Mus musculus: one gene and its partner. Each later gene encodes a partner of the first gene's protein in a complex. Links are inferred from orthologs where the notes say so. Each region holds a gene or a part of one and is shown on either strand. Other genes may lie near its edges.

Region 1 (10,591 bases):
AAAGTCGTAAACCCTCAAAGATTATCAGTTATCGGGACACTATCCTGAGTGCATGGCCTCAGGAGAAGCACAGTTTCCTGGTGACCTTAGCACAACTGACTCCATGATGAAAGTATCATTCAGGCTGTAAAACTCAGCATGTAGACAGCACCACCTGCCAAAACAAAACAAAGACCTAGCCCATCAAAGTCCACAGTTCTGGGAAAGTCTGAATGTACTAACCTTGCTTTTTGGCTTCTCTAATTCCATTTCTGGCTAACTGTTTTTGTTAATTGAAATGTGTCAACCCAGGACATGGTTTTTGTGCTTCAAGGCTCACCCTGAGAAAGTCTAGGGACTACGCAGGGATCCCAGACACCCAGTGTAGTCAGTGCCGGCGAATAAGGACTTCTATTGGCTCAAACTCACATTCGAGCAGTCTTCTCTGGTGAGCACCCACAACACTGGAGCCTCTTCTCCCTGCAAAATGCACGTGCATGCGGACTTCCCGCCTTACTCCGAGCTAATTACTGCTTCTCCCTTCCCTGCCTCTCTCCTTCCTTCACTTCTTTCTTCCTTCTCCCCATCTTATGTCTCCCTGAGTTTTGAGATGAGGTCTCAGTAGCCCAGCCTGGCTTGGAACTTGGAATGATTCTCCTGCCTCAGTCTCCCACATTCTAGATATAGGTGTGCACCAAGAGCCATACTTGGCTCCCCACCGCCTCTTCTTCCAGCTTCTCTTCCTCCTTTTAAAGAGATAGGGTCTCATGGTTACTCAAGCTGGCTGCCAGTCAGTCCTACTTCAGTCTCCTGAGTGGCTGGGGCTAGAGGTGTGCACCCCACATGTGACCCCCGCATTATGATAGAGTCCTTTGTCTTTTTCAGTTTCTCTGACAACATGACCTAGGCCAGCAACAACACATGCATTACGTTAATTACTGCTAATTAATAACTGCTATCCAGGTCCATATATATCTGTGTTGGGTCTTAGCTTGTGATAATTACCCTGGCACAAAAATAGATTCTCTTGAAAGTGTGACCTTTGACAGTTTGCTATAAAAATAGTTGTAACAAACATCTCATTTGAAGATGACTAGAGGCATGTTACGGTCTCAACATCTTCACAAGTGGAACTGGGAAATTGCTGCTAGGATAATATTGTTTAACCCTCTCTCTCTCTCTCTCTCTCTCTCTCTCTCTCTCTCTCGAGAGAGAGAGAGAGAGAGAGAGAGAGAATAACTTGAAACTCAGAGAGGTCACCCATCGCTGCTAGATTCATCCTTCGAGTCTCCAGTGGGGCTGGGCAGATAAGCAATGTTTTTTTTCTGCCAAGATGTCTTTAAGCGACGTTCCTAGTTCAGGGCAAGTAGCCCTGCAGCCCTGCTCCCAAAGGTTTTGCAACTTGCTAGATTCACTTGTTCTTCAACTTTCGCTGTCGCCTCAAGGAAACCCAGGCTGTGTCTGGTTGATTGAGACTTGTTTGTCTGGGCCGGGTCCAGCAGCTGCCCCGCCTCCTTGGCAGAACAGCTGACGCCAGAGAGCTCCGTCACGTGATCACCACAGTTTCCCAGCTCTGACCCCGAGAGTCAAAGTAAGTACTTTCCAGGGACTCCTGTGAAGTGCACCCGGTAGGTACTCTAGTCCTGAATGTCTGCAGCCAGAGCAGCAACGGTGCGGGTGTGCAGGCAGGGGTGGGGTGTGTGTGTGTGGGCAGGGGGCTGGGATGTGCGGGGGGCGGGGGGGGGGGAGGGCGCGGGGCGGGTGTGCAAGCCGGGGCAGGGCGGACCCCGGCGAGCACTGTCAGATAGACTTGGGACAGATTAGGCACCAGGCTTTCTGTGCTGCTTCCGGGGTCTTTAAAGCGTTCGGGACAGATAAGGTTAGCTTTGAGTTGCCCCACGGAGTCCCTTTTTGTTCTCATCTGGAGGACAAGCAGCTCTGCCCTTCCTTCCTTCCTCTGTTCTTTGGCCTCCTGCCCCATAACAGACCTTTCCCCCTTTCTCTCTGCTGATTTAGCAGCGTGCTTCCGGCTGTTGGAAGGACAATTAATCAGTGAAGCTGCCTCTTCCTAAGCAAGACAACAGTTGCAGTCAGACAAGCCCTCAAGGTGAGACCCAGGAGTCTCCCACCTCCCACCTGTGCCTGCCATGGAGCTCCTGAAGGCGCTGCTGCTCCTTTCTGGAGTCTTTGGGGCTCTTGCTGAATTCTGTGGTAAGTAACCAACCCGTGTCTGGACCCTGGGGTGGGGGGAGAAGGGCAGGGGAGCGGGGATATATGTGTGTGTGTGGGGGGGGGCTGTCCTTGTCCATTGGGGAAATTGGAAACTGGAAGTGGGGGATGGAGAAACTTACCTGCCCCTCAGGTCTCCCACAGCAGTTTTTAACAGGACCTTAGTGCTTGGGCATGCTGAATGGACACGTGCCCCCTGTCCCCGACAGGGTCTCCCCAGTTCATCCAGCAGTTTGTTCATTTACTCGGTGCACATGGGGCCTCTCTGAGATAGGTTAATAGGCCCGGTGTTTAGTTTGGAGAAAGGGTCAGGAGTACACAAGACTTGTCCCAGCTCTCCTAGGGTTTATGCTCTATGAAAGGGGCAAAAGGGGTGCCAAATTGGGTTACCGTGAGTGATGCAAAACAAGTCACCCTGAGGCAACAATAGAAAGCCACGGGGGTCCGTCGAATCAAAGAGAAGGATGGGAAAGGATGTCCAAAGACTAGAAGGACTAGAAGGCTTTGGGAAGAAGTCCCAGAGGGAATGGATGGGGGGGGGGGGCGGCGGCAAACATTCCAGGTACTTGAAGGTTCTCCCTGACTGCTCCAGATAGTCATCCCAGGGCTATAGTCCTCCAGAGACCTCTTATAGATTCTAGGGACCTCTCAAAACGTGATTGTGACCTTTAGGTTATAGGTTCAGGCACAGTCATACCCGGGGATCAGGCAGAAAGCAGGGGTGTCTCATCTCTCCCCTTCCTCCCGGGTACCCTGATTATCTGGTCTCAGGTGAACTCGGGCAAACCTTAAGCACGGATCAGAGAGATGATGCCCCAGCTCAAGATAACAGAACTGTACTGGATCCAGTTCTTGGGACCTGAGGCTAGCACCTTCCATAGGTGCCTAGACTCTCTGGCCATGTCCTGTTAAAGCTCCTTATCCTTGGGTCCCTGGTTGCTGTCTGGACAGTCCTCAGGGATTCCCACCTCAGCCTTGAGCTGTTAGCCCCAATGCCTGACCACAGGAGAGTTCCTCCCTTCACCATCATGAGAACTTTGGGGGCTTGGGTCCCAAAGTTCCCATTGGGTCCCTTCCCCAATGCTGTGACTTTTGTGAAGTGAGCCGAGACTGTTCCTCCTTCCTTCCTCCTTGGCGTGGTGTGAGGACACCACACTTGCGTCATCAGCCAAGGCTCTGTGTGCAATGAAATGAATAGGTCTGATCTCTAAAGTACACAGAGAGGACTCCAGGCTTCTGAATGCCTGTCAGTCAGTCAGTGAGAGGGCTAGACAACCCTGTGCACAGGATGCCTTAGTGCACGAGTGTGTGTGTGTGTGTGTGTGTGTGTGTGTGTGTGTGAGATAGGGCTGTGTAAGTCAGGGTACTGAAATGCAGTGGCTCACAGCCTTCCTAATGGTGCAACCCTTTAACACAGTTCCTCATGTCGTGGTGACCCCCAACCATCAAAATACTTTTGTTGCAGCTTCCTAACTGTAACTTTGCTACTGTTACGAATCGTAATGTAAATATTTTTGGAGAGAGAGGTTTGCCAAGGGGCTCTCGGCCCACAGTTTGAGACCCACTGTTCTAGCAGTGCAGCAGAACCAAGGAGTGTGTGTTTTGAAACACTGGCTTACAGGATGTGATCATGGTAGCCCAGCAATGGCTGTCTCTTGATGGAAAAAGGCTGAGAATCCCATAGTTATTCAGTCTGTGGGGCTGGTTATCTCTGCAGATTCAGTCTGGTGCTGGAGTCCTGGGGGAGTCCTGGGGAGCTGATGGTCTTCCATGTATGTTGGAACCACGAAGAAGGGAGACTTTAATACCAGCCACAGCAACAGGGTAGATGAACTTGCCACTGAGGGTGAGGGCAAGCAGGCAAAGGCAACGTCTCCTCCTTTACCTTATCTGGGCTGCCATCCAAAAGTTTGGGCCAGATTTAGAGTGTGTCTCTCAACTTCCAATTGTAATCTCATTAAGAAAACTCACAGAAGTACCTGGCAGCTTGGGGGTTGGTTGATTCCAGATGCAGTCAAGTTGACAAGGAAGATTAGCCATCCTAGCAGCATTGCCTGAAGCCACTTTGACTAGTTTGAGTGAATCTGCCTGGCTCCTTCCTTCTAGAGAGGGTAAATTGTGGTTATCTGCCTCCTATAGGCTGTGCCTTACCTTATCTCTTACTCGGGATGGAGGTCAGAGCCGGGGGTGGGGTCTCTGGGCTCCCTCACTAATTCCAAAGAAGAGCAGAAGAGCAGAGCTCTGTTGCTGAGATAGAGCTCAGGTGCCTGCCTACCATGAACAAAGCCCTGGTTTGAGTCTCCAGCATTGTACAATCCAGGTGTGGTGGCATACACCCGGAACCCCAACATGTGGGGAGTAGAGGCAGGAAGACCAGGAATTCTAAGGTCATCCTCAAGGACATATTGAGTTTGAGGCCAGCCTACAATACAGGAGACCTTGCATAAACAGTAAAATGTCCTCCTGGGACAGTCAGAAAGATAGAGAGCCACAGTAGAGGACCTCGAAGATACTGACAGAACTCTGGAAAGATATAGACAGATATCCCAAGAGTAAGTCTTCCCTGTTCCTACAGGGTTCCATCAGGGTTTCACTATGATGCATTCCAGGCCTTAGCCCCTCAGGTGCTGAGATTGCAGGCTTGTGCCACCATGTTCAGCTTGTGCCTGACTGTCAGAATGAACATTTCATGAGAAGCCAGCCAGGTGCCCTGGCCAGCCCCATAGAGCCAACAGTCATTTAGAGTTCGTACTTGGGAATGGCCCCTTACATCCATAGATACCTATGAGGTCTGTAAAACATTTAGAGAGATGTGGCTATGATCAAGGGATTCTGGATCTCATGTTAGGAAGCCCAAGAAAGTAGGCAGAGGGCCCTACGGCAGACCGTTCGGCATGCTGGAATATAGGTCCGTTGGACAGCAGGAGTGGGTGGCGACAGAGTCAGTAAATGGGGCAGAGAGTCCACAGTGCCTCCAATCTGAGCATGGCCCCTTCCCAAGGAAGGAAGTCAGCCATCAACTGGAATCGGTGAGCATCCCTGAGATTTCTGCTTCCAGGGCATCTCAGTGTGTTGCTTACATATTGCAGGTAAATCCCAAGTCCTGACAGGGTGCTAGTAGCTGATCTCCCAGGGTCAGACCCTATTAACTAGGGATGGCAGAAAAAGTGGTCTTTTAAGGTTCATGTGGAGGAATTTCCTAGGGCAGCTGGGAGAACCAGTTGGCAGCCTACAGCATGTGAACTTCAATGTGGAACACTCATTGCATGAGGGCTGGGGCTTTGAACAATGAGCAGGATACACTCAGGAGAGTGACTATAGCAAGGGGAGGGGTGTCAGTGTGACACAGTCTTGGCTCCCCAGCATCCTATAAGGCACAGCTTGACTTTGAACTTCTATTTCCTTTTCTATGCAAAACAACAATAAAAATATCTATCTACACCACAGGGCTGGTTGGAGGGTCAAAAGAGACAGGTGCCTGGTCCATTACTGCTGGGCTTGGTCTCCAGTCACACCTGATAGGTGGGGTGGTTGCATGGTAACAGCATCCTTTGATCTCAGCCCATCATCTCTCCTTGGCCCAGTCTAATTCCTCTTAGGAGATGCCCGCTTTTCTTTTTACCTACCACCTTTCACCATAGAGGGCATTTCTCCTGGCGGGCTGTGGGCTGTGTGGTAATGGGTATAGAAACCCCTGTTCCTGGTGAAGGTTTTGCCTAGTAAGGAGGTCACAATAGTTGCTTGCTAGTGGCATGGCTCTGTGGCCTCTCTCACACCATTTTCTTTCCTCAGTAATACCACGGATAGACAGCCAGCTGGTAGAGAAGTTGGGTCAACGTCTTTTACCTTGGATGGATCGGCTTTCCTCAGAGCAGTTGAACCCCAGCGTCTTCGTTGGCCTGCGACTTTCCAGCATGCAGGCTGGGACCAAAGAGGACCTCTACCTTCACAGCCTCAAGATCCATTACCAGCAGTGCCTCCTGCGGTATTGCTAGTCTCTTGTCTTCCCCAGTGACTTGATCCAAGTTATAAGAGATAGGAAATTGGATTCTTTTTTTTTTTTAAAGATGTCTTTCTTCCTTTCTTCCTTCCTTCCTTCCTTTCTTATAAGTACTCTGTAGCTGTCTTCAGACACACCAGGAGAGGGTATTGGATCTCATTACAGATGGTTGTGAGCCACCATGTGGATGTAGTTACTGGGATTTGAACTCAGGACCTCTTTAAGAGCAGTCAGTGCTCTTCACCACTAAGCCATCTCTCCAGCTCCTAGCAGGCTGGATTCTAATTGGGGTATTTTGTGGCTTTTTGACAAACTCTAGGCATATTTTGTCTTCTCTGAGCCTTTCTCCATCTGCAGAGTGCAGGGGTAAGTGGTACTAGATCAGAGATGCTAACACATGCCCTTTGTCCTGAAATGGTGTCCCTGATCCCTGAAGCAGCACCTAACTCTTTCTGTGCTCCCCACTGGTACCTAAGACAGACATTACTAATTCATAACCAAACATATGATTGTATATTGATACAAAGAAGCAGTATCTAACTCTGTAGTTTACTCTTGTACTACAGACAGACACTGCTAATTCACAACCATGTTCTTTCATGCAGTCTAGAAGCAGCATATTTCTGTGTTCCTTCTCCAAAGAGTAGCCATTAAAGAGAGGCCTGCTCTGGGGTTTGAGTGAGAGGCGAAGAATAAGAAAAAGCCATCAATCACTAGGCATAGTGGTATACACCTTTAATGCCAGCTCTTGGGAGGTGGAGGCAGGTGGATCTCTTTGAGTTTGAGGCCAGCCTGGTTTGCAGATCGAGTTCCAGGACATCTAGGGCTACACAGATAAATCCTGTCTTGAAAAACAAAAACAAAACAAATACATGCACATACACACACACACACAAAGAAAAAAAACATGAAATATCTGAAATATCTTCCCCATTCCATTCCTTCTCAAGAATTCAGGGAAGGGAGAGAAAATAAAGGAGAGAGTTCATGGGCAAACGGGGGTCAAACTGTATGATGTGGATGTAGGCACCTTTGTGTTTTACCCTTGACTTACCTCACCTTTCTTCTTTTGAAGAATCTGTGGCATGCACCTCATACCAGCACAGCTGACTGCTAATTCCACTTTGTGACCTTAGTGTGGGCCAAGCCTGGCTTCTCAGGGGAGCACCTTCTTACAAAGGTTCTCTTGTCTTGCCTCGTCTTAGGTCCACCTCCAGCGATGATAACAGTAGTTGCCAGCCCAAACTTTCCGGGGGCAGCCTGGCGCTCTACCTGCTTGCTCTCAGGGCCAACTGCGAATTCTTCGGGAGCCGAAAGGGTGACAGGTTGATCTCACAGCTCAAGTGGTTCTTGGAGGATGAGAAGAAGGCCATTGGTAAGGAGAACCACATCTGAGGGGGCAGGAACATCCGGGAGGGCTCATTAAATGGTTTCGGCGTTTGTAGTTTTGAGGCAGGCTCCGGACTCATAATTGTTCTTGTGAGATGAGGTTCTTGGTGGGAATCAGAACTCGGGGGTTTCTTCCCAGACCTCTTCTAACTCCCTCACTGGGTCTACCTAGAAGCTCGGGCTGGACTCAGTCGCCAGGCTTGACCCAAGCTTTCCCCTACCCCATGCACAAGCTGTTGGGTGCCCAGCCAGCAAGACTAAGCGGTTTCCACCTCTGGGACACTGGTACGGCCTCCTCTCTGCCTACTCCTTAGCCTCTGTCAACTTTCCAGCCTCCTGACTTGGACCCAATTCCCAACAGCTGAAGCAGGGATTTTCAGTATAAACCTGTTCTTCATTCAGCTTACACCTTGCAGCCCCCCTCCCTGCAGCCCCCCTCCCTGCAGCCCCCCTCCCTGCAGCCCCCTCCCCGCCGCCCCCCTCCCCGCCCATTCTTCCATTGCTAACCCTCAGCCCAGCCTGGCTGGTCTCTTACACTTTCTAGGCATTGCTTGCTTGCTTCTCTTTGTGCTCCAGGCACAATGACCTTCTCAAACAAGTCTAGATATTTATCTGTGCCCTGCAGAGTGACATCCATGAAGAATCCTGTCTCAATTTCCCAGCTATTTAGACTTCTGTTATTGGCTCTAGGGACCTCAGGCCACATTTCTGTTACAATGGTGCTGTCCTATGAGCACCGTTCTATTCTGACCTGCAGAGATAGAACCCGGCATATATTGGGACCTCAGCCAGCAGCCTGTGGTCCCGAAAGCTATGAAGTTTCTTGCTGGGAAGAGGCGGAAACCCTGACCTGTCTCTCTACTCCTTGCCTTTCTAATCTCAGGGCACAATCATGAAGGCCACCCCAACACCAACTATTACCAGTATGGCCTCAGCATCCTGGCACTGTGTGTCCACCAGAAGCGGCTCCATGACAGCGTGGTGGGCAAGCTCCTGTATGCTGTTGAACATGACTACTTTACCTACCAGGGCCACGTCTCTGTGGGTGAGTGGACAAAACCTAGCTTTCCCCAGCCCCAGGGGAAGGGGTGTACGACCTGTCCCTCTGCTCACCTTTCATTGGAACATCTCCTTGCCAGATCCCTTCGAAATGAAATGGTGGGGACTGTGAGCCAGCTTTGAAACTGGACTTGCATCCTGACCACAGCTCCATCACGTGTTCACTGTAGGTCATCCTCCTCCTCTTCCCGCCAGGCTTTTCCTTTAAAACAACCTCCCAGCAGCAGCTCAGTAAAGGCACTTTACAAGCAGAGGTCTTAGCACACACTTGGTACCGTATAACCTGGGATTCTGATACCTGGATTTTGATCTGATTTCTCACTATGTGACCTTGGGCCACCAGACCTATTTTTTAATCATCACAATTCAAGGTCTCTGCTAGGCCTGGGCTTCTGTGAATGAATAAGGCCTCATGTAGGGTGGGTAGGATGGAGTAGGAAGGGGGTTGATTGGTAGATGATTGCTTAGAGAGAAAAAGGCACCAGGACCTCTGGCAATGAAAGACTTGTCTCAGAGTCTTGTAGAGAAACACAGTGGACACATTAATGTTGCCTAGAGGGAAGAGGAGATCTTAAAAACTCCCAGGCCCTGACAGCTACCTTTATCAATTAAATCAGAATGCCTGAGGGTAGATAACGTAGCTGTTGGCACCAAACTCTCCAAGGAGGCTGGAGATGTAGCCCAATGGCAAATAACTACTATGCTTGAGGTCCTAAATTCAATACTCTACACTACAAAACCAATATGATTTAATTAATCAGTAATAAAGTTCCCTCTTTGGTCTCAGTGCATCCTGGCTTAGGAGCAGGGACTGTAGAATCCATCCTCTGGGACCCTCTTCTTCAGTCTGTCCATATAACCTGTTACTCTCAAGCCACTCAGTGACCAAGTTTGTCTAGGTCTGAGCGTTTTTCTGGGGCTTACTGTGTCCAGTGTTAGGACCAGGGAAGTCCTGGGCAAATCACCTGAATTGGTATGGTATATGATCCTGAATCCCCACCTAGTCTGATCTTATCAAGCTGTCCAGTTCATACTAGATGTTATCCCCCTAGACACAGAAGCCATGGCCGGCTTGGCCCTCACCTGTTTGGAGCGATTCAATTTCAACTCTGATCTGAGACCACGAATCACCATGGCTATCGAGACAGTGCGAGAGAAAATCCTGAAGTCCCAGGCCCCTGAGGGCTACTTTGGGAATATCTATAGCACCCCACTGGCACTACAGGTAAGAGAGAGACTCTGGAGCCATGACTGCTTAGCGGGTCAATGGAGGGAGGGCTGGTTAGAAGCTGGAGAGCCTGGTTCCTTCCCAGGGGCTAACCTCTGACCTTCTCTTCCTCACAGATGCTCATGACATCTCCTGCATCCGGGGTAGGGCTGGGCACAGCGTGCATCAAGGCAGGGACATCCCTGCTGCTCAGCCTACAGGATGGGGCCTTCCAAAATCCTCTGATGATTTCCCAGCTGCTACCCATCCTGAACCACAAGACCTACTTGGATCTTATCTTCCCAGACTGCCAGGCATCCAGGGGTAGCAGAGCCCTTTCTGTCTCCTAAGTGATAAGCTACTCTCTGTGGGTCCCAGTGATGGGTGACCAGTCAGTGATGCTTGGCTGAGGCGACATGAGCATGCACAGAACACAGCAGCTAAAACGAGGCCACAGCCTTCTGATACTCATGGTGTGGGCACAGACACCAAACAAGTGCTCTGGGCGGTACCCACTGCGTGATACCCACCGTGGAAATGTTTGGGCGAGGGAATGGAGGAGTGTATTAGTCATGGTCCTCTAAAGCAGCAGCATTGATAGGATGGTTTATTGGATTGGCATACACTATATGGTACAGATAGTTCAACAGTGGCTCTCTCACTCTGTCTCAGTCTGGAAAGCTGGATGTCTCCGCAGTCCCAGTGTGGCGATGCAGGAGGCCTGATGG
Region 2 (11,061 bases), on another chromosome or scaffold:
CCATAGGCTGCCCAGGCCAAGGGAAACAGGCTAGAGGCAGACAGAGGGGTGAAGAAACTTTAATAGCCACCCATCAATGTGAGCAGCAGGAGTGTCTAAACCACAGTAGCCCCATTTCTTGAGAGCGTCCTGGGGCCAGCCCCTCAGTCCTGGCTATGGCAAGTTTCCAGCCAAGCTCACCACATACAGCGGGAGTGTCTGAGGACCCCAGTCTCTAGGACCATATCTGTAGAAGCTTAAAAATCAAAGTTCTCTGTGCTCCAAAGAGCCCAGGTCTCAAAGCTGAGAAGCCAGAAGCTCCTTGCGTGTTTCACGGCTCCTTTGTCCCAGTCTGACTGCACTCAGGGCCAGGTGGTAACCATGTGTCCTCAGATCAGAGAGGTTTTCCTTTCTGACAGCAGCAGCGACTCCTTCACAGCCACCAACAGCCCTGGTGGGGGCAGATAACCCTGACCTCGGAGGCGTAGCAATATGAGAAGGGTGGCCGAAACCAGGATGGCACTCAACACCCCTGTAGGGGACAGACAGATGGTCAGGAGTAGGATAAGGAGGGCAGGAACTATCGCAGACTAGTAAGTGGAGAGCCCCAAGTTCCTCACATGGGAAAGCCTATCTTACCAGCAGCTGCAATAACCCCATAGGCACTTGGGTTTCGGGATGAGTCCCCAGCAGAGGTAAATGTTACATTCCTGAAAGAGGTCTCATTCTCCATGGTCGTAGAAATCCTTGTAGTTGTGGCATTCTCCTCCTGGAATATCTTATCAATTTCTGTGTCAGTGTCTGCAACAAGGCAAGGCATCAGTAGCTGAGGGGCGCCCAGGGCTTAGCAGTCTGGTACACAAGGTTTCCAGTGCCCAACTCTTAGAATTCATCCTGATCTAAGACAGAGTAAAGTTGGTGGGAAATCACTAATCCTCATGATGTCCTGTCCACCAGCACAGGGACGAAGGCCTGGGAGGAAGCGTGTGTTTACATCCTCAAACTAGTCACCCATGGAAGGAAAGAAATGTCCTTAAATAACTGTCAGCCTTCCCCACCCACACAGGTATACCAAGATCCCAGGACACAGACCACAGCTGAGCTCATCACTGGAGTCAAGACAGTCTGGGTGGCCATCACAGCGCCACGTGTGTGGAATACAGACATCATCCAGTATGCAATGCAGCTCACTCTCCTGACAGGGTGGGCGGCTGCAGTTGAGGTTCTTGTCAGAGACATCAGAGCAACCACTGATGTTGTCACAGGAGCAAGGAAGGGCAGACTGTGGTTGGCACTGCCCATTCTGAGCACATGACTCAATCCCTGAAACATAGAGTCAATCAGATTCAAAACATCCATGCAAGAAAATGCAGTATGCCAGGCACGGTGGTGCACACCTTTAATCCCAGCACTTGGAAGAGGAGGCCAGCCTAGTCTACATAGTGAGTTCTTTTTTTTTTTTTTTTTTTTTTTTTTTTTTTTTTTTTTTGGTTTTTCGAGACAGGGTTTCTCTGTATAGCCCTGGCTGTCCTGGAACTCACTTTGTAGACCAGGCTGGCCTCGAACTCAGAAATCCGCCTGCCTCTGCCTCCCGAGTGCTGGGATTAAAGGCGTGCGCCACCACGCCCCGGCTTACATAGTGAGTTCTAAGACAGCTATCAATATGTAAAGAAACCCTAACTCACTCTCTCTCTCTCTCTCTTTCTCTCTCTCTCTCTCTCATACACACACACACACACACACACACACACACACACACACACTCACACAAAGAAGAAATCCCAGTGCTCTGGTTACCCAATCCGCTCTAAATCCTAACTTCTTCCACAAGTAGCAAACTAAACTAAAAACTAAAAGCATCTCGTTCCTTTAGCTACTTTAATCCCAGCACTTGGGAGGCAAAGGCAGATAGATCTCTGTGAGTATGAAGCCAGCCTGATCGACATAGAGACTTTCAGGCCATCCTGGGACATACAAAATAAATGTATGAAAGCAGCTTCCTCAGAGCTGAGGAGATAACTCAGAGGGCAAAGTGCTTGTAGTACAAACATGTTGAATGAGTTTGATCCCCAGTACCTAGTAAAGGCCAGGTGCAGCAGGGCACATCTCTAACCACAAGGCTAAGAGTACACATGGCTGGATCTTGGGGCTCCCTGGAACAAACCATTCTAGCTGATTCTCTCCACTCTCCCCACACTAAATCCAAAGGCGCGTGCTGGGGGATTGTCAATTTTAGTGAAAGATGGTCTCAAAAGTAAGGTGGAGAGCAACAAAGGACACCACCAGTGTCAAGCTCCAGCCCTACATACACACAGACATGCTGGCAAACACTCCTGCACACACTTGTACCCAGACACACACTAAGTAAAATAAAGAAGTCTGTGTGTAAAGGCTTGCCCTATGGGAAGTCTCTGTGCAACACCTGTCAACTCCACCTACTAAGCCCTCGGCTTCCCATCAGGCTCCTCCTTTACCTGCTCACCCTCCCCGTACGCCTGCCTACCTATGTCTCTAGAGCGCTGGGTATAAAGCAATCCCAACAGTCCAGACCCACAGACTCCACCTTGCCCTGCTTATCCAGCCCTACAACCAGTCTTTTCCTAATCCCCTAATCTCCATGCCTGGCAGCAGTGTAAACACCCATCCTCAAGCCCCTCTCCAGGAATGGCCACTTACTACAGTCTTCCTCGTCACTGCCATCAGAGCAGTCCTGGTCCCCATCACAGCGCCAGGAAAGGGGCACACAATAGCCACTGGTAAGACACTGGAAGGTGTCTGTCGGGCAGGAGTCAGCTCTAGAGCCTGAGAAATGAACATAAATGAGGCCTTGGGAGGGTTGGGGGATCCAAATCTAGAATATCTTTCAAGAGGACAGTTATGAGCTGCAATCAGCTAGAGATAAGCGATGTAAAGAAAGGGTAAAGAAACTATATTGATAGCCACCCTCTACAGAGCCCTGGGTTTGGGGCCCTGGAAGTTCATGAATGCTGCTAGGCTCCAGTCTTCTGAAACACTATGACCACACAGAGCTGGTGACAAAAGTCGGGACTCAAACCCAGGTCTTACTGACCCTTGACACTATTAGGCTCCAAATGCTCCAAATGGCCACAAAGTCTACATTGGAGACCACCAAGCTCCATAGTTTAAACGGGCTCGGAGAAGAGCCGTTCCCCAACATGCTCTGCAAGAGACTCATGATCAAGGTCAGGGGGACCTAGTCTAACCCACCTGCTTAGCAAAGGGGAAACTGAGAGCCTGGGTAGTAAATCTGCTCAAAAGCCAGGCATGGTATTATATGTATGCAGGAGGTTGGAGGCAGAAGGACTCTGTGTTCCAGGCCAGTTAGGGTTATATAGGAAGACCTTGACTTAAAGCATGGTGATCATGTGTACTCGCCAAGACCTATTCCCTCATCTCCCAAGTTCTTCCCAGGTGAAAACACTCAGCTTGACCTAAATATGTCACCTCTGAACTAGACCCCTAGTACCGAATCTCCACCAGGCCAGAATATCACACTCTTATCTACTCTGATCACCCACTATCCCACGGGACCCAGGTCCTCTCACATCCAAGGCTAAATCCTTCCCTTCTCCATCAAACCCCTCTATCCTGGCCTCCTCCTCGTAGTTTATCTAAGAGACTTGACTCGCTTTCATCACAGGGCCTTTGCACGTGCCTTCCACAACCCAAGGGCCCTTCTTCCACTCTGTATTCAGAGGAAGAGGAGTCTAGACCGTTTTGCACATCAAGCAAACATTCTACCATTGAGCTATATACCCCAGCCACAGCCCACCTTGTCCTTCCACTCTATAGGTGTGATTCTTCTTCAGCTTTCAGATCTTAGTTTATATCTTGGGCAGTGTCTCATGTTCCCCAGGAAGCTCTGCCTCCCACAAACAACAGTCCCTAACTAGTAACATCCATATTCCTATTGACTGAACACTCTCAGTGAAAGTCAGGGACGTGGCCTCATGGCCATGTCTAGTGCCTGACAGTGTGTGAACAAGTCATGTGAGGGTCCACATTGACCCAGATAAAACCTAAGCCTTTCCAGGGAAGCCGGGGCTGTTTGCTGATCAAGAGGGGCAGGCAGTGAAGAGACCTGGTACTTGGGCCAGCAGGAAGGAATGAACAAAGACAGGAGGGAGCCTTTAGAGCTTCCTACCTCACACACAGAGCCAGAGCCTCCAAGACCCCTCCCTCCCTCTCCTTGTAGTCAAACGCAATTATACCTGCATACCACACAGTTCAGAAGCTCCAGAGAGCTGAAGAACTGAATACAAGCCCTGGCCACCACCCCTTCCTGCCCAGCATAGCCTCCTCTCCATGCCTAACAACTCACAGTCCTGCCAACTCAGACCTTCTCTTCCTGACTCTGTATTTTCTTGGAATGGGCCCAGAGCAGAGCAGACCCTATACCTCTTGGGGGCAATTAATCAGACAGGAGTCAGGATGACCCATGATTCCTCCTCCCAGTCTATGTCCTCATCTGTAAAAGAGGAATACTAAGGCCAGACTTAATGTTGCTCAATAGTAAGTCCAGCTCCTGGGATGCTGGAACAAGAAGACTGCTTGGAGCTACAAAACAGCCGAAAGTGGGAGGAGGGGTAGTTTATGGGTACAGATCCATAAACAGCCAAATACAATGGTCCATACCTAATAATCCCTGTGCTGGGGAGCCTAAGGCACAAGTTGAAAACAGCAGTCCAGCCTGTGTTATATAGTAAGTCCCTGTCTCAAAAAAAGGGGAACTAGTGCCTGCCTTTAATCCCAGTACTTGGGAGGTGGATCTCTAGGAGTTCAAGCCCAGCCTAGTCTATATAGCAAGTTGCAGACAGCCAGAGCTATAAAGTGAGACCCTGTTTGGAAAAAAAAAAAAAAAATCAAAACATAATAAAAACCTAAAAACAGAAACAAAAACAAACAAACCAAAAAAACCTTGAAACAGTTAAGACCTATTCTCATACAGAGTGGATGGTCAGTAGTGGCCAGTGGTCACAATCGGGCCTCCTCGTCCTGCCCGGGACAGGTTCCTGGCCAAGATTGGGGTTCACAGGGGAAATACACTCCAGGGCTCTTCCTTCCATTCTCTGAGGCAGGAATACAAGGAAAAACTGAAGCTCTGGGTGCTGAAAGAACAGCCACAGAACTGCAGCCTCAGGGCTGAAGGTTTCGGGAAGGCATACCTGCTGCAAGAAGGTACCGGGTGACCAGCCCTGCGTGGTGAGAGGTCAAAATCAGAAACAAAAGCCTTCCAGCCCACATTGAGCTGAAGGACGGCTTGGAGGTGACTTAGGGACAGCGCAGGAATAAGGGAGGAAGCTGAGCAGAACACAGGAGAAGGCACCCATGTGGCGGTCCCCTCTGCACGCACAGAGGGCCGATTCTCTCCACTCTACCCACGCTAAAGCCAAACACGCGTGCTGGGGGAGTGTCAACGACCGATGGGCGGCGCAGCCAATAGTGAGGCGATGCCAGCGCGTGGAGGCGGGATCAAAAGCGGTGTAGAAACGGGGGTTCACTCACCGGAGACTTGGACCCGGGTATGGGCCGGAGCCGGAGCGGCCTCTAGGCCTGTTCTGAGACCAAAGAGGAGCCGCAGCACCAGGCCCAGGGCCACTGCCCGCCCAGCTCCGCCCCGCGCCATCCAACAGCTAGCCGAACTGCTCCGCTCCAGCCGCAGCCGCTCAGTCAGAAGGACGCGCTGATTCTCGCGCACGCGCACACAAAGGCAGGGGGGAGTGGCGCAAGCAAGCCTGCGACCGTAAGTACCCGAATACAAGGGTACTTTGATTTTAGGGCTCCTCCTGGCTTCTTCCTAGCAGTAAAACCTAATGTGTTTGGTGACCTAGGCCTGTAACTCCCAGATATTCTACAGGCTGAGGAAGAACAAAGCCAACCTAGGCTATTAAAGGAGACCCTACCTCAGAATAAAAAACAGGAATTCGGGGAGTAGTTCAGTAGTAGAGCACTTGCCTAGTAGTATTCAGGAGGCTCTAGGTTTAATCCCCAGTTCCATGAAAATAACCACATTAACTTGAAATAATAAACTTCTGCTGAACAGTGGTGGTGTACGCCTTAAATCCCAGCACTTGGGAGGCAAAGACAGGCAGATTTCTGAGTTCCAGGCCAGCCTGGTCTACCGAGTAAGTTCCAGGACACCGGGGGCTACAAAGAGAAACCCTGTCTCAAAAAACCAAAAATAAAAATAAACCTTCTAGGGATATAAATGAACTTAGCAATTTTGACCTAAACTTCACATGTAGCCTACTGCAAATATCACTGCCCAATGGTCCCAATGAATATGGCAGCCACACCCTGTGAACACTCCCCAGCAGGTCCCTCCTTTGTGCCACCTAAGGATTTTACTTATTTTAGCTTTATTGTCTTGATTGCCCCCTAGAATGCCAGCTGCAGGCGAACCAGGATGTTGGTTTCCTTTGATGAATGGCGAAAATAGTGAGGGAATGATGGAATGATCAAATGAGTGAACAGTTACTGGCTTCGAACCTGGACTGACCATCTCCTTGGTTCCCATCCCAACCTCATTAACTTCTAGTTCTCACACACTTGAGAAACATTTATTCTAACATGGGCCTGGTAGATTGATACTACAATTGTATTAATTGTAATTGATACAGATTGGCAGCCTTGGGTTTTCTCATCCCACTTCCACAGTTGAATGCATTGAGTCAGCTTATCCAATGTGGCTAGTGATGTTGTGGTTTCTGCTGGTCTGAGGTAACCCAAGCTGGCCTGAAACTAGTGATCCTCTCTCTTGCTTTGGCCTCCGAAGTATTGGGGATATAGTCATGTACCAGCTTAGTGTTTTATTCTTCACATTACGTTTTCCATAGCTCTACCTTAAGATTCCACGACACTGGCCGGGCGTGGAGGCGCATGCCTTTAATCCCAGCACTCGGGAGGCAGAGGCAGGTGGATTTCTGAGTTCAAGGCCAGCCTGGTCTACAAAGTGAGTTCCAGGACAGCAGGGCTACACAGAGAAACCCTGTCTCGAAAAACCAAAAAGAAAAAAAAAAAAAAAAAAAAAAAAAGAATCTATGACACTACCTCCCAACAAGGCTGGAAGGCAAGTCACTAACCTTCAAATGGCTAAGTTTCCCAGAATGTAGACCAGAAGGCTACATAGAAGTCCAGACTTTCACACAAATGGTGCTGCTTGTGGATGGATGGCCTCTCTACCACCGTAAATGTTAGAGGTTATGACTACTTTTGGAGTGTACTGTGTAAGCCTCACCAATTTCTGGAGAAGGCAATGGTATTCAGGCAGAGAGGGATGCAGACAGAGGTAAGTAAGACAGCCCAGGGGAGGGTGGGGATCATCCTACATTTTTTTTTCCTCTTTTTTTTTTTTTATTATGTATTTTCCTCAATTACATTTCCAATGCTATCCCAAAAGTCCCCCCCTCCCCCCACCCATTCCCATTTTTTTTTTAAATTAGGTATTTTCCTCGTTTACATTTTCAATGCTATCCCAAAGGTCCCCCATACCCACCCCCCAGATCATCCTACTTTTGAGGATCAGGATCTTGGTAGGGTGCTACCTGCCCCTGGGACACGGCCATCAGGCATAGGCCTCCATGAGTGCAGAGCTTAAGGCTTGTTTGTATAACTATGTATATTACATTCCTCCTTCAAGGAATGTCCTCCCTGTTAAAGTTAATAACTCCATGATAATCAGAGACAGCAAGAGTGCAGGAGGCCAAGGTGTGGCTAATGTCTCAGCAAAATGGTAAACATTAGGATCTTAGGAACAGCTTAGGCCTGTGAGAAAGAACTTTAAAAAAAGAGTTCAAAAATATTTAATTTCTCAAAAAATAAGGATGCAATATGAATTATATGAGCTTCACTAATCTAAAGGAACAAAAGCAGTTGTGCTGGGAGCCGACTTGTCAGAAAGATACTCGGGAGATAAAGAGACGTGGGGAGTGGTGATCAAAGGATAGCCCACCCAGCTAAGTTTGTTTGTTTGTTTGTTTATGCTTACAAAAGCAGACATTTGAGTTCAGGGTTGGCCTGGGACAGAGCAAGTTTTTGGCCCAGGCATGGAAGAAATATTATTTCGGGATGGGGTCCCACCCAGCTAGCTTATGGTCTATGTTTAACAGTAGCAGGCATCTTCTGAATTCTTTTGCAATGTTTAAAAAAAAAAGGGTGTGCTTACTGTCTTCTAAGAATTAAGGGGCTGGGGTCACAAGATGCTGATTCATAGGATAATCAAAAGGGATCCTGGAATACATGACTAGATTGACATGTAAAATAAAAGACTGGGTTCATGATCTGCATGAGATACTCAGAGAATTTTTTTTTGAATAGCAAGAGAGAAGTGCTTGGAGAACTGGCATAAGCAGAACATAGAGAGAGAGCAGCTGTCTGGAGACCTCCAGAGAGAGCAGAACTTACAGAAAGCACTCTAGAGAGCTGTCTCAAGCAAAACATAGGTCCTCAGCTTAGACCCACAATTTGTTCTCACCTCCCAGACAACTCTTCTCTCAGAACCCCTTTCCAAGACAAGGCTGGTCCTTGGTGGTGGGGGAAGGTATCTGGGCAGACCCTAGATTTACACAGAGCAATGCAATCCACTCCCCAACTGCCTAGAATTCACCAGCTCTCAATGAGCCCGAGAGAGTGCACTGTCTGTTCAAGATGACCTCCCAGAATTGCTCAGAGAACTGCCAAAACAGAGATAAAGAGGTGAGCCCACACACGAAAGCAAACACCTATAATCTCTTCAGCTGAGGCTGAAGGACTTCATTAACTTCAAGGTCAGCACGAGTTATTTAGTAAGTTCCAAGTTAGCCTAAGTTAGAGTAGGGACCTGCCTCAGAAAACAAAAGGACTCAAGATGGAGCTCAGTTGGTAGAGAGCTTGCTTGTCTGGCATGCACCAAGCCCTGTGTTCAATTCCCAGCATCCTATAAACCAGGGCTGGGGGCACACACTAGTAATCCTAGTATTTCGGAAAAAAAAAAAAAAAAAAAAAAAAAAGGAGGAGGAGGAAAGAGAAAAAAAAAAAAAGAAAATCAGCCAGGCTTGGTGGCACACACCTTTAATCCCAGCACGCAGGAGGCAGAGGTAGAAGGATCTCTGAATTGGGGGCTAATTGTCAATAGTGAGTTCCAGGATAGCCAGGGCTACACAGAGAAACACTGTCTCAAAAAAGCAGAGAAAGGAAGGAAAGAAGGGAGGGAGGGAGGGAGGGAGGGAGGGAGGGAGGGAGGGAGGGAAGGTAGGAAGGAGGGAGGGAGGGAGTCCTTTCCCACACCACTCCTGCAATTTCCTAGGTCATAAATCTACACAGCAATTTTCAATACCACATATTGCCCGAGGCCTTTAGGAGTCCTCTGGCAGCAGGCTCTGTATACTATGACCACGGTTCCTCTCCCGTTTGACCTCCTTTCTGAATCTAGCTTGCCCTTTCACCTCCTCCGTGAAGCCTGCAGCTGTAGCATCCTATAACACTCACTCTGAGACCCTGACACCTTCCAGGCAGGGCTGTGGCCTTCTTGCTCTTGCTCTCAGCTTCCAGGCAGCCCCAGTCTCCACACTCTTGCTCATCTCTACTTTTCTTTTGATGCCAGTGTTCTGTTTGTTAGTCTGAGATATAGGTTCTCAATCTGTAACCTAAAATCTGGCCTCAAACTGGCAATCCTCCTGCCTCTGCCTCCTAAATTTGGGGTTAGCCATGCACCACCACACTCAACTTATTGTTTTATTTATGTTTTCCACAGTTCTACCTTCATCAATGACTACTTAAGGGCTACAGAGTCATTCCACGGAGCAAAAATGATATTCACCTACTAGCTCACCTACTGGCTTAGTAATACAGAGATTACAGGCACCAAGACCCCATTTAAAAAAAAAAAAACTGGCAAGATGGATCGCAAGTAAAAGTGCTAGCCTCAAAAGGCTGAGACCTAAGTCCCATCCTCAGAGCCCAAAAATGACACATAGTGGCTCAAATCTAATCCTACAGCAGGCTGGGAGGTACAGACAGCAGCCTCAGGCAGACACTCTTGGGCCAGCTAACCTGGAGTACACAGGACACCAAAAACCAAGTGGAAGGAGAAAACCAATTCCCAAAGTTGTCTTCTCATGTCCACACATGCTGCAGCGTGTGTTCACACACCCGGCACACATGTCCACACATGCTGCAGCATGTATTCACACACCCGGCACACATGTCCACACATGCTGCAGCATGTATTCACACACCCGGCACACATGTCCACACATGCTGCAGCGTGTGTTCACACACCCGGCACACATGTCCACACATGCTGCAGCATGTATTCACACACCTGGCACACATGTCCACACATGCTGCAGCGTGTGTTCACACACCTGGCACACATGTCCACACATGCTGCAGCGTGTGTTCACACACCTGGCACACATGTCCACACATGCTGCAGCATGTATTCACACACCCGGCACACAGTAATATCAAATCCAATCGATAAATACTAAGAAAAGACAGATTGGAAATAATGTGGAATTCTATATATTTGTTACAAATTAGGTCACACTCTCCCCAGAGGGAGTCCAAGGAGGAAAAGCAGTCATGTGGCCCTAGAGACATATATAGCAAGGTAACCTAGGGCAGGGTCACAGGTATGGCTGGTCCTTGGACAGCTCCCACCTCTTCATGGGAGGAGCAGGTGTCACTGCCTTCTTCTCAGTGGCTGCCATTGCAGAACTACAAGAAAAAACGACAAACTCCAGTTAGAACCAGGCCTACAAAGAACAGTGAGGATCTTTTGGTTTATTTGTGTTTGTTTTAAATTTTTATTGAAAATAAATTTTCCATACAATATATTCTCTGATCAGTTTCCTCTCTCATTTCCTCCCAGATCCTCCCTACTTCCAATCTCCATGCCTTCTTTCTGTCTTTATAAACAAACAGACAAACAAACAAACAAACAAAACAAAACAAAACAAAAAAGAAAAATATGGGCTGGCGAGATGGTTCAGTGGGTAAGAGCACTGACTGCTCTTCTGAAGGTCCTGAGGTCAAACCCCAGCAACCACATGGTGGCTCACAACCACCCGTAATGAGATC

What was found.
Region 2: the proteins of Tcn2 (region 1) and Cd320 are in contact, whole or in part, in a crystal structure (PDB 7QBF), measured with the Homo sapiens proteins. The link is inferred for Mus musculus from reciprocal best matches to the Homo sapiens genes TCN2 and CD320. Residues at the interface, in NP_000346.2 of Homo sapiens: Asp70, Leu71, His74, Lys77, Leu78, Gln81, Gln82, Glu91, Asp92, Arg120, Gly121, His122, Lys123, Asp125, Arg126, Val128, Ser129, Lys132, Trp133, Glu136, Arg140, Lys169, Arg170, His172; in NP_057663.1 of Homo sapiens: Thr57, Lys58, Leu66, Cys67, Val68, Pro69, Trp72, Asp75, Arg76, Asp77, Leu78, Asp79, Leu133, Glu136, Cys145, Ile146, Pro147, Thr149, Trp150, Asp153, Gly154, His155, Pro156, Asp157, Cys158, Pro159.

Annotation. Positions count from the first base shown.
Region 1 is NC_000077.6:3,922,992-3,933,582, reverse strand, and holds the start of Tcn2 (transcobalamin-2 precursor), read left to right. Parts: upstream 1-1,538; 5' UTR 1,539-1,607; intron 1,608-1,621; exon of another isoform or gene 1,622-1,656; intron 1,657-1,731; exon of another isoform or gene 1,732-1,858; intron 1,859-1,995; 5' UTR 1,996-2,126; coding exon 2,127-2,190; intron 2,191-6,000; coding exon 6,001-6,193; intron 6,194-7,413; coding exon 7,414-7,583; intron 7,584-8,480; coding exon 8,481-8,642; intron 8,643-9,708; coding exon 9,709-9,881; intron 9,882-10,000; coding exon 10,001-10,187; intron 10,188-10,591. UniProt on the Homo sapiens protein: Primary vitamin B12-binding and transport protein. Delivers cobalamin to cells.
Region 2 is NC_000083.6:33,837,736-33,848,796, reverse strand, and holds the start of Cd320 (CD320 antigen isoform 1 precursor), read right to left. Parts: upstream 5,707-11,061; 5' UTR 5,627-5,706; coding exon 5,506-5,626; intron 5,372-5,505; exon of another isoform or gene 5,245-5,371; coding exon of another isoform or gene 5,166-5,244; intron 2,782-5,165; coding exon 2,656-2,781; intron 1,303-2,655; coding exon 1,072-1,302; intron 781-1,071; coding exon 619-780; intron 512-618; coding exon 369-511; 3' UTR 1-368. Other genes in the region: Ndufa7 (NADH dehydrogenase [ubiquinone] 1 alpha subcomplex subunit 7), read right to left, coding at 10,608-10,698. UniProt on the Homo sapiens protein: Receptor for transcobalamin saturated with cobalamin (TCbl). Plays an important role in cobalamin uptake. Plasma membrane protein that is expressed on follicular dendritic cells (FDC) and mediates interaction with germinal center B cells.